Rhinolophus ferrumequinum: one gene and its partner. The protein of the gene in region 2 purifies or fractionates together with the protein of the main gene of each other region. This does not show direct contact. Links are inferred from orthologs where the notes say so. Each region holds a gene or a part of one and is shown on either strand. Other genes may lie near its edges.

Region 1 (7,856 bases), on a different chromosome or scaffold from region 2:
AAACCACAACCAACATCCTAGGCTCTCTGAATTCCTCTTCTCTGTCCTAGCCATCCCCACCTATACATCAACTGCGTTCATTATTTGGTATCTCAGAGCCAAAAATTAAAGACTTAAACATACAAAAATGTGTAAAAACTACCATAGAATTACCAAGTGAAAACACAAAGAAAAAAATCAGATACAACCTTTTCTTTAATGCTATGTGTATTTTAGATATTTGAGACATCACAAGATTACACTGAACAAGATATTTGATTTTTAACAGGATGTGGCTATTTAAGGAAAGAAAACATATTTGAAGAAAATACTGATGTTTTGAGTCCCCTAAGTTTTCTTTAACCGAGCAATTTATTTGCAGTACCACACTGCCTGTCCAATCTTACTTCTTTTTGTATAAAGAATAGTCTACCTATTTATACCTTTTTTCACGCAAAATTATTTCATTTGTGACTATCATAGGCACATTTCTCATAAAAATCAAGCTATAGGAGCACACGCTTTTTTATTACCAAAACTTACAAAATCTTGGTAGTTTTCATCTGAGGATGAAAATACTCTGGGCTTCTTATTCTAGTTAGTTAAAAGATTCCAGAAAATCAGTATCTTTTGGGAACAGATTTTTCTCAAGCAATGCACCAGTGGGTTGTTCCTATTATACTTTGCAACTAGGTATGCAATGACGCTTTACTTTTGAAGGGGAGACAGAACAGCTCCACCACAAGTCAAACTACTGCCCTTCAAACTACTGCACTTCAAAACTCGATACAGGACTGTCTCAAATGTTGCCTTCACAAATCTCAACAGACCAGTTTTACTGCTACTAGATGTAACTACAGGTCCCTAAAATTTTACTGACAGCACTTTTGTATTTTTTCAAAATATCTGTTCCCCCCTACCCCATGCACACGTTTTATGATCTGAATCAAATACACTTGTCTTTTATTTCATAAAATGAAAAGATGATCTAAATATTCTTAATGTTGTATACTGACACTATAGGAATAAAAAAACAAAGCTGAATGTTTATATTAAGAATGAAAAAAGAAAACATAGCTTTAAAAAAGATACATTATTTATAAATTTCTCAGATTAGCTAAAGCATAAGGAATATTCAAAATTGAATCAAAATACCCAACACCACTGCAGAATAGGTTTTGGCATGCAGTCATTGAATGAACTTGTCAGGATTCTTGGTATATATAAAGTAGGACTAATACAGAAAATATGCCCTATTTCTCTGCTCCCTGGTGCAATTTTCTAAGTTACAAAATAAGTTACAATACAGGCACTACCAACTTGGTTCTGTGAATGACACCAGAACTATCACCACCTCTAGCCTGATTCTAAAATTTACCCCCCAAAAAATCTTATGTTAAAAATCTTTAAAAAGATCTCTAGCACTAATGAAATAAAATCAGAGTAAGGATCCCTAATAAAATGTTAAAATAGATGACTTAAAATGTCTTTCAATATTTAAAGGAACATGTGGTAAGTCCAAGTGGTTAATATTTTCAGACAGTATTCCAAAAGTTTCACAAACATGTTAAATACAATATGGCTACAGCAAACATCAGAGAAATCCGAACCCAGGGCCAGAAACTAAATCGCCAGCTTTCAAATTAAAAAGCTGTCGGCCCCACCTGAGGCAGTTGGATACTTTGAGACCAAGGCCAATATCATAGCAGCAAGTTAGGCCTCTTCCTCCCTCTGGGAAGCGCATGACAAACAGGGCGTCATGCAACTTGTCACCCGGTCACTTAGCAAAAATTATATCTAACTTCAAAACTTGGGTCCAGGTGGCTTCTAATAATACTCAAAGGAAAGACAGCAGCGAAAGCATCGGGTAGAAGGAGTATTAAAATGCCCCACTTTCTGACCCTGAGAACATTTAGCCCATCATTAGATCCGAGTCCTAGATTCTAAGAGTTGCTTTAATGGAGGCCTCCCTCAACCTCCTCGGAGTCTGTTTTGCAACAGTGAAGGAACTTTTCCTGCTTTATCTCAGTTCCCTGAAAGCATGCGGCCCTGCAATTCAATATCCTAAACTGGCAGGGAACCGTGGAAGAGGAAGGGGAGGAATCCACGGCCAAAACAGCCGTCTTATGAAAGACAAAAAAAAAAAAAAAAGAAAGAAAGAAAGAAAAAAGAAAAATCATTCCTCCTCCGCCCATTGTAAACCCATCCCAGAAATTTACAGCATGTTAAGAAAAGCAGCATTGCGAACTGCAGACGTAAGTTTTCCTTTGACTCTACGCACGGTTTTCAGCTGTCAAATTACAACTCACGAAAACACTATCATTAGAATAAAAAAGGAAACAAACAAACAAAAAAGCTCGCACCAGAGGGACCGGGAGCTGGAGCTGCCAGCAGCGTTTAGGGAGAAGGAGAGCAAAGGGAATCCAACCCACTTCCCCACCCCCGCCTGAATTCATCCCCTCCCCGGGCAGGCAAACCTCACTGCAGGGGCTCATATTTAATAATAATAACAATAATCATGGCGCTTCCTCCCCCACCCCCCACCGCGATCTGCCGGGAATCAGCTTCTCCTCCCTGCTTCCCCCCCCCCCCCCCGCCCCGGATCTTCAAGCTTGGCAGGTCCAAACCACCCCACCGGACACAACTCCCAGGGGCCCCGGCGAGCGCAGCCTACCCCGGGGCCCCTCGCCCCGTTTCTCCTCTTCCCTCTCTTTTTACCTCCACCATCCCCCATCCGCATTGTCTGTCTCAATTCAACTTTGGCTAATATGGATTCCTCTGGCCTGGCCCGGGCGGTAATTACAGCCCGCCCCCCCGGGAGCGATCTCCCCCCCCCATCTCCGCCCAGTTCAACGCGGCTCCTACGGGGCAAGGGGGGTGCAGCGCGCTTTCCCATCTACACCGTGCTCCCCCCACGTCCCCGGGCCCCCGCGCCCAGAAGTTTGCCCCGGAAAGGGCCTAGTCTGGGGCAGTGAGGACCTCCCCACCGTCGGCAGGCGCGTAAACACTGGCGCCCGCCCCGGCGCGGCCCCGTGGGGGAGGGAAGGGGAGGGCGGGGAGGCGCCCCTCCCCCCGCCCGCCGGCCCTATTACCTGTCATTGAGCTGGTCCTCGGTGCCCGGCAGCGGGTGAACCACGAAATGGATGGACGTCATGGTGCTTCCTTCTCGTCCTCCTCCCGAGGACGGCCCCCTCCCGCTCTCGCCCGCCCCCCCAACCCACTTCCCCTCCCCAAAACCCACTGCCGCCGCCGCCTCCCAGTCCCCAAATGGAGGGAAGCAAATGCGCAGGGGCCGCCGCTGCCCCCCTGCCGGGCGTGTGTCCACCGCCCGGCAGTCTGCGGGGCGAGGAGGACGGATCAACACGCCACCCGCTCTCCTGGCGACAGCGCACAGGTCTGCGAGGCCGGCGGCCGGGACCTGGGGCGCGCCGCCGCCAGCGGCAGCGGGGCGTTGGGAGAGGGGCGACTGGGGAGGGAGGAGTGGGGCGGACTAAGGGGACGGTGTGGTCCCGGCGGCAGACGGGGTCCGGACTAGGGAGGTGGGGAGGGAGATGAGCCCGCACCGCGCGTCACTGGCGAGAAGCCGCCGCCGCCACCAGCACCGTCGCCGCCATCTTCACTTCTGCCCCAGTTTCTCCGTCTCGCAGGCTGCGCTCCCGAGCGGCGGGGGAGGGGCGAACGGAGGGAGGAGAAGGGAGGAGACCGGCGGGTGGGGGCACGGCTGCGAGGGGGCGGGGCTCCGGGAAACGGGCTGTAAGGCCCTTTGGATTGGGCCGCTCAACGTTGTCTGGCCACGGTGCTGTAAGGCGCGTGCGTATTGGTCCGTTCGGCCCCCGAGGGACAGCTCCCAGTGAGTGTTCCGGAGAGCACGTGTTAGGGAAGGAGGAGGCGGAGGGGCGCGTCCGCCCGCGCTGGTAGGGAGTCCGCCAGTAGCTTGAAAGTGTGTCCCGGGGGAGGTGGGAAGGAAGAGGGGCTCCTGCGTTGTCTCGGTTTGATTTCCCTGGGGCAGCCCTAATTATTTTGCGTACCCTGGGGTTTTTTTTTGTTTCTGGTCCTTCCTCCGCAGTTGTATTTAAAGTGGAAGTGTGAAATCAGTTAAGGGGCAAGAAATGAACACCCTTTTATTGGAGAAGGTAGTTATGTAAGAACCTCTCCACAAGGTCCTAATCTTAGAGCTGACTTTGCAGCAACTTCTTTTATCACCCTGTTCTCCCCAATTTCCCCAACACCACCATCGTCACGTAGCCAGACAAAGACAAAATGTGGAAATTTCCACAAATTTCCTGATTTAAATTATTCATTTTTTTTTTACGACTTTTAAATGAAAGATGATCTATCTACTCTGCAAAGGCGTTCTTCAACTTAAGATCAGTGGGATTAAAACGGCAAATTCTTGAATGGATCTAGCTGCTTTTTACTGTGGAGCCAGTTCATAGCTTTCTTCCCAAAGGCTTCTGTGTCGCCTTCAAAAAGCAGGTACCTCTTTCAAGGCAAAGAGTGAAAACATGAAGCCTCTTCTCCAGGCTGTGTGAATGTTCATTAAATCAGAGGTCCTGTGAACCGTTCTTAATGTTAAATAACACTTTTCTTCTGTTAATACATTACAATATACACACTTTTGCTTAGGAGCTTCTTTTGAACAAAATATGTGAAAATTTATAAATCAGGATAGAGTAGGTACCCTTTGAGATAGATAATGGAACACTTTTGTAGGTCACTTGTTCCAAAATCGGCCCAGATGAGTTTGGACTAAAAAGTGATTCAGCTCTACTACTTATTAGAAGTCTATGTGAGGCCATGGGAAAGCAGGGTAAACCAATGAACACTGCTAGTTTTAGACCCAGACAGACTTGGATTTGTGTCCTGTTTCTGCTACTATGTGACATTGATTAAACTGTTTAACCTATCATAGTGTCTTTTTCTAATTTGTATTCTAAATAATAGATCTACCTAAGGTTGTGGAGAACTCTAAGATAATGAATGTCAAGCTCCTAGGGCTCTTCATAACACTTAGGCTCTGCAAATGGAAGCTTTTATTTTTCAGGCTCTCATTATATACCACTTTATACATTTGTCTTTTAATACTCAAATCACACTATGGGGTAAATAATATTATCTTCATTATATAGATGCAGACACTGAGGCTCAAACATTTCAGGTAAGTGCTGAAGCTGAGACTTAAACCCAGGTCATCTAACTTTGATTGTGTTGCTCTTTCCACTATACCACAGCTGCCATCTAGTTAATAATTTAGAAGGAACAGACTATTCAAAGCCAATGGGAAAAATGTGATATGATAAATGCAATAAGAGTGCTATGGAAGTTAAAGGAGGAAGTGATTCCAGCCAAGAAAATTAAGAAAAGTCATTTAAGCTGAGCTTTCAAGAATATTCTGGGCAAATAGAATATACAACTTAAACCTAGTCATTTTACATTTGCCCCAGAAAAAACTCCACACCATACCCATATTTTGCTTCATGAGTCTTTCTTCCAAATCTGTCTTCATCTTTTCATCAGGCTTCCAACTTGATTTACCCACTCCCAGTTTCCTGGAACTGAGACTCTCTCTCCTAGTTGAAGGCCCCTCTCCGCACTCCTAGCAGCCCATTCAAACTGCCCACTTGATCTTTGACTGACAGCCATCTTGACATAGTGACCTTTTTGTTGTCCCAGGCTGGAATGTTAGGGAGAATTTTCCTCTCCCAGGGCCCCAACACTTTGGTGGGTCACGGTTTGAACAGGGGAAAACAAGAATAAAGGCATGGAGTTGTGCAAGCCCATTGCATGGATGGGGGAGGGGGAGATACAAATAGGGAATGGAGATAAGCAAGGTTCAAGAAGAAGCTCTTTGAAGACAAAGTGCAACACAAGCCTAGAAGGGGGGAGGGGCTTTTTTCTAATAATTTGGACTAATTCTCACTTGGAGGACAACTAGAAAAGTTAGCCAAAATATTTCTTTAAATCTGCTTAAAGGCACAGAGAGTTAACAAAATAATGATGAATTACCAAACTGGGATCCAAGGGATGAATAAGACCCAAGAAAGTGAGTCTTGTGTTTGGAGCCACTTTGTCCTCTGGGATGAATGCCAATTCCAGAAACACAGAGTGAGAAGCCAAGAGACTGAACAATTCTGACAAGCACTCAGGGTTAAAACAACAGGAATTGATGTCCAAGGTATCCCAATGCTGTGGTGAGTGCTAATGAACCCCTCTTACTTTGTGCTGAGCCCTGAAGGACCATACCCCTGAAATAGGCCATGTCTTAGATTTGATTTCCCCCAAAACAGAACTTAATACAAGGATTTGACTATAAATAGTTTATTTGGGAAGTGATTACAGGAAGCACTATATAGGAATGGAGAAATGAGACAGAGAATGGATGAAACCCAATAAAAGATGAACTGATGAATGTTCTACCACTGTGGGCAACTAGAATTCAATCCCACTGGGGACCATCTGAGGGAATGTGTGGGACACACCTCAGAATTACCCTACTGAGTGGAGGGCAAGCTGGAGTTATTTATCCATCAGCAGCATCCCTCAGTAGTTCAGGATTGCTCTTGGGTTAACTCCTTGACACTTCAAGTTTTCCCTACTATGGGCAAAGCACAGTGCTAAATAATAGGCTCAAGAATGAAAGAAAAACAAAGACATTTGGCAGGGGTCAGGGAGAAAAAGAGAGAGAAGAAAAAGAAAAGGGAAGAAAAATGTGAGAAATTTTTAGGACTCAACCCATACTAAAGGGTATTCTTCAAGCAAAAGGAAAATGATTCCCCACTGTAAGCCCAGAGAGGCATAAAGGAATGAAGAGGTGTGAAAGGGGAAAATATGTAGGTATATGAATGTTAACTGAATAAAACAACGGGGCTTAAAAAGCCACAACACTGACCCCACCAAATGCTGCCCAACATGCAGAGCACCAAAAACTCATTCATTGCTGGTGGAAACACAAAATGGTCCAGTCTCTTTAGAAGACATTTTGGTGGTTTCTTATGAAAGTAAACATACTCTTAACATATGATCCAGCAATCACAGTCTTTGGTATTTATCCAATGGATTTGAAAATTTGTGTACATACAAGAACCACACAGAAGTTTATAGCGGTTTTATTCATAATTGCTACAACTTGGAAGCAACCAAGATGTCCTTTAGTCAGTGAATGCATAAATAAACTGATTCATCCAGACGATGGAATATTATTCAGCACTAAGAAAAGTTGAGCAATCAAGCATGAAAAGATATGGAGGAACTTTAAAGGCATATTACTAAATGAGAGAAGCCAATCTGAAACATTATATAGTCTGTTTTCAACTATATGACATTCTGGAAAAGTCAAAACTATGGAGACAGTAAAAACTTCAGTGTTCGTCAGCGGTTAATGAAGAGAGAGGGATGACTAGGCAGAGCACAGAAGATTTTAAGGGCAGTAAAACTACTCTGTATGATATGATAATGGTGAATACATGTTGCTATACATTTGTCCAAACACATAGAATGTACAACACCAAGAGTGAAACCTAATGTAAACTATGGACTCTGGATGATAATGATGTTTCAATGAAGGTCCATCAGTTGTAGCAAGTGGACCACTCTGGTAGGGATGTTGATAATGGGCAAGGATATGAATGTGTGGGGCAGGAGTAGGTAGAAAATTTTTGTACCTTCTTCTCAATTTTTCTGTGAACCTAAAACTGCTCTAAAATATAAAGTTTATTTAAAAGAAAACATGTTAGCAAAATAAATTCAAAAGGATAGTAGATTCCTTTTGACATACAAGTTCAATGATTTGACATACGAAAATCAGCAAAAGTAATTCAACGTATAACAAAATAAAGGAGAAAAATAATTAAATCCCTTCAGTAGAGTAAGAAAAGGAT
Region 2 (8,371 bases):
ACAGACATGTATGCTAAGAACACACATAAAATCAAAAGGCAGCATGTACCCTCTACCATCCAGTCCCAGTCTTATCCCTCATCCTTCAGAAGGATTTATTAATCATTTACGTTAGGAAGGGAATATTCGGTTGGGGGCAAGGTATCCTGTGAAGAAAGATTAGAATAGAGTAAGAACCACACAGCAACTAATGGGAAAGGGAATAAAAAATGATCATAATCTAGAAAAAATAAAAACTAGGAAAGAAACTAGAATTATGCAAGTAGCTGTAACCAAGAGAATGAAAGGGAAAACGTCCATTGAATATTATACAAATGTGCTAAGCAGATATACTCAGACTAGCTTCAGAGCAGAAAGTAGGTGCACGCTTGACTGGTAGTGGAATCTCTGGTCCAAACACAGACTGCTTTCAAAATCACAGGGAGTCTGCAGTCAGCCCTTGTCCCCAGGCCTCCTCCTTCTCATACTTAGAGAATATCAAGTGTCGAGAGGTAATGTTTGAATTCAAGAGCCTTCTATTCAGGATCCAGACTGAGGGTATAGATTTGCCACACTGGGGCACCACTATTCGAATATGACTATTTTGTCACATAGGCTACTTTTGTTAAAGAAAAATGAACCCCCTTTCCACCAAGAGAGCAGATGCTCAAGGGCTGCTGAGCACCATGGCTAGAAAGGCAGAGAAAGGCAGGAAGATGAGCCGGTGTGACAAGAAAAACACAATGATGGTTCTGGTGGAGTTTTTAAAACTCTTGCTGAAACAGGTCTCCCTAGGTCACTCAGACGAGTCCATCTTTTCGTTGTTCAACATTTCAGTTCAGAAGGGATCTTAAGTATACTATGCTGTCTTCAGACAAGTGATTTCTGAAAAACGAATCTGACTAGAACTGGAAGAATGACTTCCCACAGATAAGCAACGGGAGGATACTTATACTCTGAAGTGCGCAAGTCCAAGTAAAGATTTGACTGCCAAAGTTGGTACTTGCCTCAAACATATTCCTCCTTTTTAGACTTATTATATGTATTGGTATCTTCAGAATTCCTGAACTTTACATATTTTGCAAACATACTTAGAAATAAACCTATTGCATACCTACTACCAAGCTAATCCGGAAGAGTAAGTGCTATCTTTATGCTTAACAGAGCTTCAAAGAGTCTTGAGAGATGCAGAGCTCCCAGCAGCAATTCCAGAGAAACGAACAATATAACCGTTGAAAAGTGCTGCTAGAGTGATGCTCAGGCCACCGCCAGGTGGGTCCTGGTCAGACTGGCAGCTTCATTTGTGCTCAGAGCTGCAGTGTCTGCCTTAGTTGTCTGTCCATCAGGGAGGGGATGACACTGAAGGTGGGTGATGGCTGTTGTACATGAGCTAAAGAGAACCAAGGGATTTGGCTGTAGAGTTCCTACAAATATAAACTCATCCACTCGAATTAAAATATGGTTAAGGAAGGATTTAGTTACAATTTAGTATGAGAGAGAAAATAGGAGACTGAAGACCATGTCCTGAGTTACTGCACTTGTGTCCTAGAAGACACCCAAAGCAATTCTGAGGAAAACTGCCGCCCCACCTGCTGGGTCTTCCTCAGTATACCTCCATGTACATTTCCTGTTTGGGGTCCCGAATCTTCCTACGAGAATGTTGTTGCATCTCTGCTCAGTTGGTGCTAAAATAGTTTACCCTTCCTGGCACACATTTCCCCTACTAGAGACTATAACCTCAACCTTTCTGCTGTTAAATTCTAATCAGAAGCTTGATTCTAAGGAAGCTTCCAAGGAGGATTTACCTGCGCACAGACAGAACGTGCACTACATGAAGTAATTTAAACTTTCTCCTGAATCAATTCAGACCATCAAAAGGCTACACATTCACAAAACTTCTTTCAGTGACTTAGGGTTTCAAATTATGTCACTGTTGGCAAAGAAAGGCTCTCAGTGGTGAAAGGGAACTTTCTATTGTTATGACTGAGAAATTATGATTTAATAGGTCTGGGCAGAGCTGAACATCTGGAATTTTAATAAGATGTCCACAGGCGTGCACTAAAGGTTGAAAATCACCTCTCTGTTTTACACAAGATGGAAGGGATGCTCAGACTACTACGTTCATATTGTACCGTGTTCGCGCTTAAAGATGATCCAAGGGGGGCAGTTTGCCTTTAGGTCTCATTCCTGAGCAAAGCTGATTTTATCGACACTGAAACTTGTATCCACACAGACGCTGACAGCGCCCAGCCAGATCTGCAGCTACCTTTTAACAACGCGGCAGGACCTCAACGCCTGAAGGAGCTATTGTGGGCGTGGTGGAAAGAACAGGGCTTTAGAACCAGAGACCAGGTTTAAATCCCAGCACGACTCAGGTTGCGTAATCTGTTTCTCATCAACAGAGTGAGGACCATACGATACGTACCTCACGAAGTCGCTGTGAGAACTAACCAGATAAATGTATAAAACGCCCGGGTCGTGACGTAAGGCGGGTAGTCCTGGGGTGTCCCAGCCTGACAGCCGAGTGGCATGACACAGTGTTTTCCTATTATTACGCGTTCCCGCTTCCTAGCTCCCACTTTCCCCGGCTGGGACTAACCATTCGGTTTGGCCCGTTTTATGTACTTGGAAGCCCCCTGCGATGCTGGCCGACGGAGGCTGGACTCACACAGCGTATTCCCGACCTCGGGCCGCGCCGCCCTGAAAGCCGGACCTGCTCCCTCGCCCGCGACCAAGGCTCTTTGTCAGCGCCAGGCCTGGGGAGGAGCCGTCCGGCGGCGGGCTCACCTGCAGGCGGTGGCTCTTGACCAGGTGCATGTTGAGCGCGGGGCTGTTGGGCAGGATCTTGCCGCAGCCACGCACAGTGCACAAAATGTTGGTCCGCACAGCCCGGGACAGCTCGCTCACCGACGGCTGGATCAGCTCCCGGGCCGGCGGCGCCGGACCCGCGGGCTGCTGCCTTGCCGCCGAGTGCCGCGGCCGGCTGCCCCTCAGCCGTCCTGGGGGTCCCCAAAGGTCCGAGGCGGCGGCGGCTCCCCTCGCGGCCGCTGGGACGGCCGGGGCATCCGAGGCCAGAGCCGCGGGACCCGCCGCCGCCGCCTCAAAGGCCGCCATGGCTCCCGCACAGCAGCCGGGCCCAGCTCGCAGGGCCCGCCTCACGCCGCTGCAACTTCCGGCACGGGGCGGGGCCGCGGGCTCATTAGCATCCGGCCGAGCCTCGACAGCCGCGGCGCCCCCTGCCGGCAGTGGACGCGTCTGCGGGGAGCCGTCGCCAGGTGAGGCGGGCAGGTTGCAAAACTTCACAGGGATTCATATGAACAAGGAGAAGGTACTGGTTCCGCTGATCCATTCTTTGCCTTCCTAGAAACTTGACCTGGCGCAATAATTGGATTGAAAAAGTAATGCGTTCAGGAACTTTACTTCCCAAAGATTAGAGATAGACCAAATGTTCAATGGCATTTGGCTATCGTTTATTTAGGGTTTACCACGTGTCAGACACTGGGGAATGCACTTTTCCTTTAGTATCTCATTTTGTCCTCAAAACAGCCATAGCGGGTATGTACTATAAGTTTTCCCCATCTTTGCCGAGAAGTAACCAAGTACGTCACGTTGTACAAATGAAAGGATTGTTATAATTGACAGTTCATTTTAAGGGGGCTGGATTTACTTGCCTGTATTTTAACTGATGACATTCGATTACTATTTGGGAGACAGTGTAGCTCAGGGCAGGATTCTAAAACCTAAGTTCCTAGAGGGACTAGGAAGGTCATGTAAATGAACATAGTAGGCCAGATATAGACAAAAGGGAGGGGTGAGGGCTACAGCGAAATGGGAAATACATCCTTTGTTGAAAGGGGACAGCTGCTACTCATCTTTGGTATCACTAGAACTATTTTTCAAGATTTTTATGTGAAAACTTCCAACTTTTATATATTAGTAGCTGTATGAGGTTTCTATTGCTGCAATAACAAATTACTAGAAACTAGTAGCTTAAAACAACAGATTTGTTATTATATAACCAACTCAAAAAGAGTCTGAAGGCTTTGGCTAGAAATAAATGAAAGAATTATTCAAGGGTCTTGGAGTTTTGCACAGTGGGAACAGAGCTAGGCAAAAACTCAGAAGTGTTCCAAAGAAAGAAAAGTTTTTATTATAGAAAGGACAGTCTTGAGAATTATCAGTCCTGCATTCTTAGTCCTAGGATTGGTCCAGGACAGTTATCAGTCAGATGTCAGGCAGTCTGGATGCCAGGTGGTCCAAAGTATGGGCCCCAGGAGGTCTGGTCATGTCCCATGGTCTGGACAGTGGATGTCAGGTGGGTGTATATGTGAGTCCTTTAGGGGATAATCAGTGTCATCTGGAGGTCCAGATTTAAATCTAGGCATTGACACAGGACTGGAAAGTTCATAAAATTTTACATTCCCAGATTAGTTAGAACTAGAATGGAATCTTTCCTCATGCCTCCACCTTCATGTTAATAATTTTAGCAGCCTGGTTAAAATGACTCCATTTTATATATTCCCCATCTTCACTCTTTCTTCATTATCTTACAGTTCTGGAGGTCAGAAGTCTGAAATGACTCTACTATGTTAAGATCAAGGTGTTGGTAGGGCTCCACTTCTTCTGGAGGCTTTATGGAAAAATCTGTTTACTTCCCTTTTCCAGCTTCTCAGTCAGGAATGGTGAGTTGAGTCCTTGTCACATCACTGTGATTTCTTCAGTAGTCACATCTCCCTGTTCTCTTCTGCTTCCACTTTCTGATTACACTGGATCCATTGAGGAACTCTCCCCATCTGCAGAGTCCCTTTGCTTGTAAGGTAACATATTTACAGGGATTAGGATGTGGACATCTTTGAGCAGGGGTGTATTCTGCCCATCAGGAACTAATTCTGATTTATAAAGTACTGTGGACCAAACTCCCCGCCCCACATCTATGTGTGGGAAAGCATCCATGGCTATTCTTCCTTTCCGCATGCTGTCTAAGAGTGCAGACTCTGGAGTCTGACTGCCTGCAGTTAATGTGGGTCCACCCACTTACTAGCCTAAGCTTTGGTATTCACTTAAGTAGCATAAAACTAGTAATGCTGCCTGCCTTATAGAATTGTTATGAAAATAAGATAATGCACATTAAAATACTTAGCACAGTGCCTGCCACATAGTAAGTGCTCAGTAAATGTTAGCTGAATAGTTTTGAAGACCCTACCTAATGTAAAATTAGATTCCTAATTAGAAAAAAATTACAAAATCCCACTGGATTATTCTGAAGCAATTCCTTTACCTAATTTTACAGGAGGCAGTATATTCCTTTGGCCGTAGAGGTCCTTAGATCTACATTTACGACTCCATCTGTTCACAAGACTCCATTTGAATACAGTATGTGTCTCTGGACTATCAAGCACATAATAGATAAGAGCTCCACTGTACTACCATTTCCTTAAGCAGGAGCCTCTGTCTGGCAGAGCCTCAGGGTGCAGCCTCAAGTGATTCCACTAATACTTGAGGCTGGGTAATGATACCATTAGCATCTTCTTGTTCCGGCTCCAGTTGCACATCCCCACCCAGCACAAGGGAAGACTATAAGCCTGTGAGAACCAACCTAGGCACTTGCAGGGTCTCTGTTCAGACCTAACGCAGGCATTCAGGCACCGAGCAGAAGTGCCTGCCACGTGTGCGCACGTAGGGACAGATGCTCTAAACCATGACTATGACATACAAGGATATTAGCATCATTAAGTCCTGCAGACTCAGAGCCTCACTCTGAGATAACTCAAGTGTCTTTGCTATTGCTAATTAAATCTAAAACCATATTTTCCACATAAGATACGTACAGTTTGTAGAAAGTACCATTACATTATAAAGCATACTTTAACCCTTTTTTAAAAATTGTTTTAAATTTGTAATGTAAAATTGATTTGTACATTAAGGCTCTTTTTGATTTTCATCAAAGGTCACTGATGTGGTGGGTCCGGTGGCTCAGGCGGTTGGAGCTCCCTGATCCTAACTCCGAAGGCTGCCGGTTCGATTCCCACATGGGCCAGTGGGCTCTCAACCACAAGGTTGCCGGTTCAACTCCTCGAAGTCCCGCAAGGGATGGTGGGCTCCGCCCCCTGCAACTAAGTTTGAACACGGCACCTTGAGCTGAGCTGCCGCTGAGCTCCCGGATGGCTCAGTTGGTTGGAGTGCGTCCTCTCAACCACAAGGTTGCCGGAAAGGACAACAACTTGAAGCTGAACGGCACCCTCCACAACTAAGATTGAAAGGACAACAACTTGACTTGGAAAAAAGTCCTGGAAGTACACACTGTTCCCCAATAAAGTCCTGTTCCCCTTCCCCAATAAAATCTTAAAAAAAAAAAAAGTCACTGATGTACCATTTTCTAAATACCTTTATTCATAAATCAGTATAATATTGATCAGTTTGAATGCCATATATATGATAAAATAGATTATGAAAAGTATCATATTCACAACAAAACCATTATTTTATATAACTGAATGATCTGATATGCTACCTTCTGCTATAACTCAATGGACCCAACTCTACCCTATGAATGGATTGATTTTATGATTCTCCTAGAAAGTTTTGAGTTGGGTATAGTTTTTTGGTGCTTCTTTCTATGATCCAAGGCTTACGAGAAAATCTCTGAAAACGAACAATTGGAACCAGAACTCTCCAGGATCAAGGAGAGACAGGAGTGAGGAAAAAAGGACATCCTGTCACATCCTAAAGATCCACAGCTGCTGTGCTTTGCAGGATATGGGGAAGGGGGAGCACACAGTGTAAGAGGAAAGAATCATTCCCAACGATTATATTGAACATTTTTAAATTGTCAATATCAAGGGTTAATTTCTAAAATACAAGTTTTTAGACAGAAGCTATCCAGTAAGCCATTAACTGAAATAAGTATGCAACATAGTCAAGGAGAGGTGATGCTTGCAAAACCACATACATCTTATTTATCTTTAATTTTAAAATAATTCATTCCTTTGCTGGGTATGCAAGTGAGCAATGGAGAAAGCGGTGCATCTGCAATACCTGAAATTAAAAAAAAAAAATGAAAATAATCACAGGGGCAAAGATTTGAGTCACTTTAAAAATGGGCAAGATTAGAGTGTGGATCATGGACTCCACTAAGTGCAGAAGCAGAATATGCAAAACAGGGCATGATGGGACGGCAGGCTGGCTGTGAGAAAGCTCAGAGGTAATTAGTTAGCAAAGAGAGCACTGAATATAGCACGCGGTTAATTCTTCTAGTTTGTAAAATAAACTGACTACTTACCGGCTGGTGCTAAGGATTTCAGTGCTTCCAGAAGATGCGGGCTAGAGAACTTTACGAGGCACCGGAGGGGTTCTTCTCTTTCAGCCAAGATGCCCCCATTTAAGTCACTTTTGAATTTTGTTTCAAGCTGTCAACAAATGTATTTATAAATGAATATTAAATGTATCAGTTGCAATGGCAAAATATAACAAAATCGGATTACACGTTTCATTAATTCTTGTCATAAAGAAATATAGGGATTAATGAGGGTGGGAACCATTTAATTTGCTAGTTGCAAACGTAGAGGGCAACCAGCATATCAAACGACAGCACACACAAAATGCCAAGTGTGCATAGTGCCTGACCCACGAGACCTTGGATATCAGTTCCGTCCCCAGTGTCCTTTTTGGCATTCTTAAATGGAAAATTAGCACTACCTTTTGTAATCTGTAATTTCAATATGAAAATGTTGTATTTTTTGAATCACTACCATGATTCCTTTTTTACTCCTGATTATGGAAGTTATTAAAAAACATACAAAAGTAAGGAACAGAACTGGTGGCCAGTTTTTTTTCATTTATTACCCCACGTCCCATTCCCTACTGCCCACCCCTACTGGATTATTCTAAAGCACATCTAGGACACCATAGCATTCCATCAGTAAATATTTCAGTATGTACCTAAAAAAGACCTAAAAAAGGACTCTCTTTTATTCCCATAACATTACCACACATAAAACAAAATTAATAACAATTCCTTAATATCATCAAATATCCATGTAGTGCTACTTCAATAGATTCTAAGTTCAATTCTTTTTTTTTTTTTTAACTTAAAATGATCCTTCACATGTAGAGACAGTATGTTGAAATATCTAAAGGGTGAGTGATGTCTGCAACTATCTCAAATGATTCAGAATAAAGAAACAGAAAGAAAGCAAATGTTAATAATGGCGAAATGTTAATAATTAGTGAATTGAAGCAAAGGGGAAATGGATATTCACTTTAAAATTCTTGTGAGTTTTCTGAAGGTTTTACATTTTTCAAAATAGAAAAGATAGGGAAAAATTAGTAGCAGGTAGGAATCAATGTGCACCTTGATTTAAATAATAGAGCCATTCTAAGATGTGTGTAAAGG

What was found.
Region 1: the proteins of ATMIN (region 2) and UBR5 purify together in Homo sapiens (affinity purification with western blotting; 3 studies listed by BioGRID). This does not show direct contact. The link is inferred for Rhinolophus ferrumequinum from reciprocal best matches to the Homo sapiens genes ATMIN and UBR5.

Annotation. Positions count from the first base shown.
Region 1 is NC_046297.1:43,905,476-43,913,331, forward strand, and holds the start of UBR5 (E3 ubiquitin-protein ligase UBR5), read right to left. Parts: upstream 3,195-7,856; 5' UTR 3,134-3,194; coding exon 3,072-3,133; intron 1-3,071. UniProt on the Homo sapiens protein: E3 ubiquitin-protein ligase involved in different protein quality control pathways in the cytoplasm and nucleus. Mainly acts as a ubiquitin chain elongator that extends pre-ubiquitinated substrates.
Region 2 is NC_046298.1:27,187,541-27,195,911, reverse strand, and holds the start of ATMIN (ATM interactor), read right to left. Parts: upstream 3,121-8,371; 5' UTR 3,094-3,120; coding exon 2,767-3,093; intron 1-2,766. Other genes in the region: CENPN (centromere protein N), read right to left, coding at 6,932-7,014, 7,259-7,385. UniProt on the Homo sapiens protein: Transcription factor. Plays a crucial role in cell survival and RAD51 foci formation in response to methylating DNA damage. Involved in regulating the activity of ATM in the absence of DNA damage. May play a role in stabilizing ATM.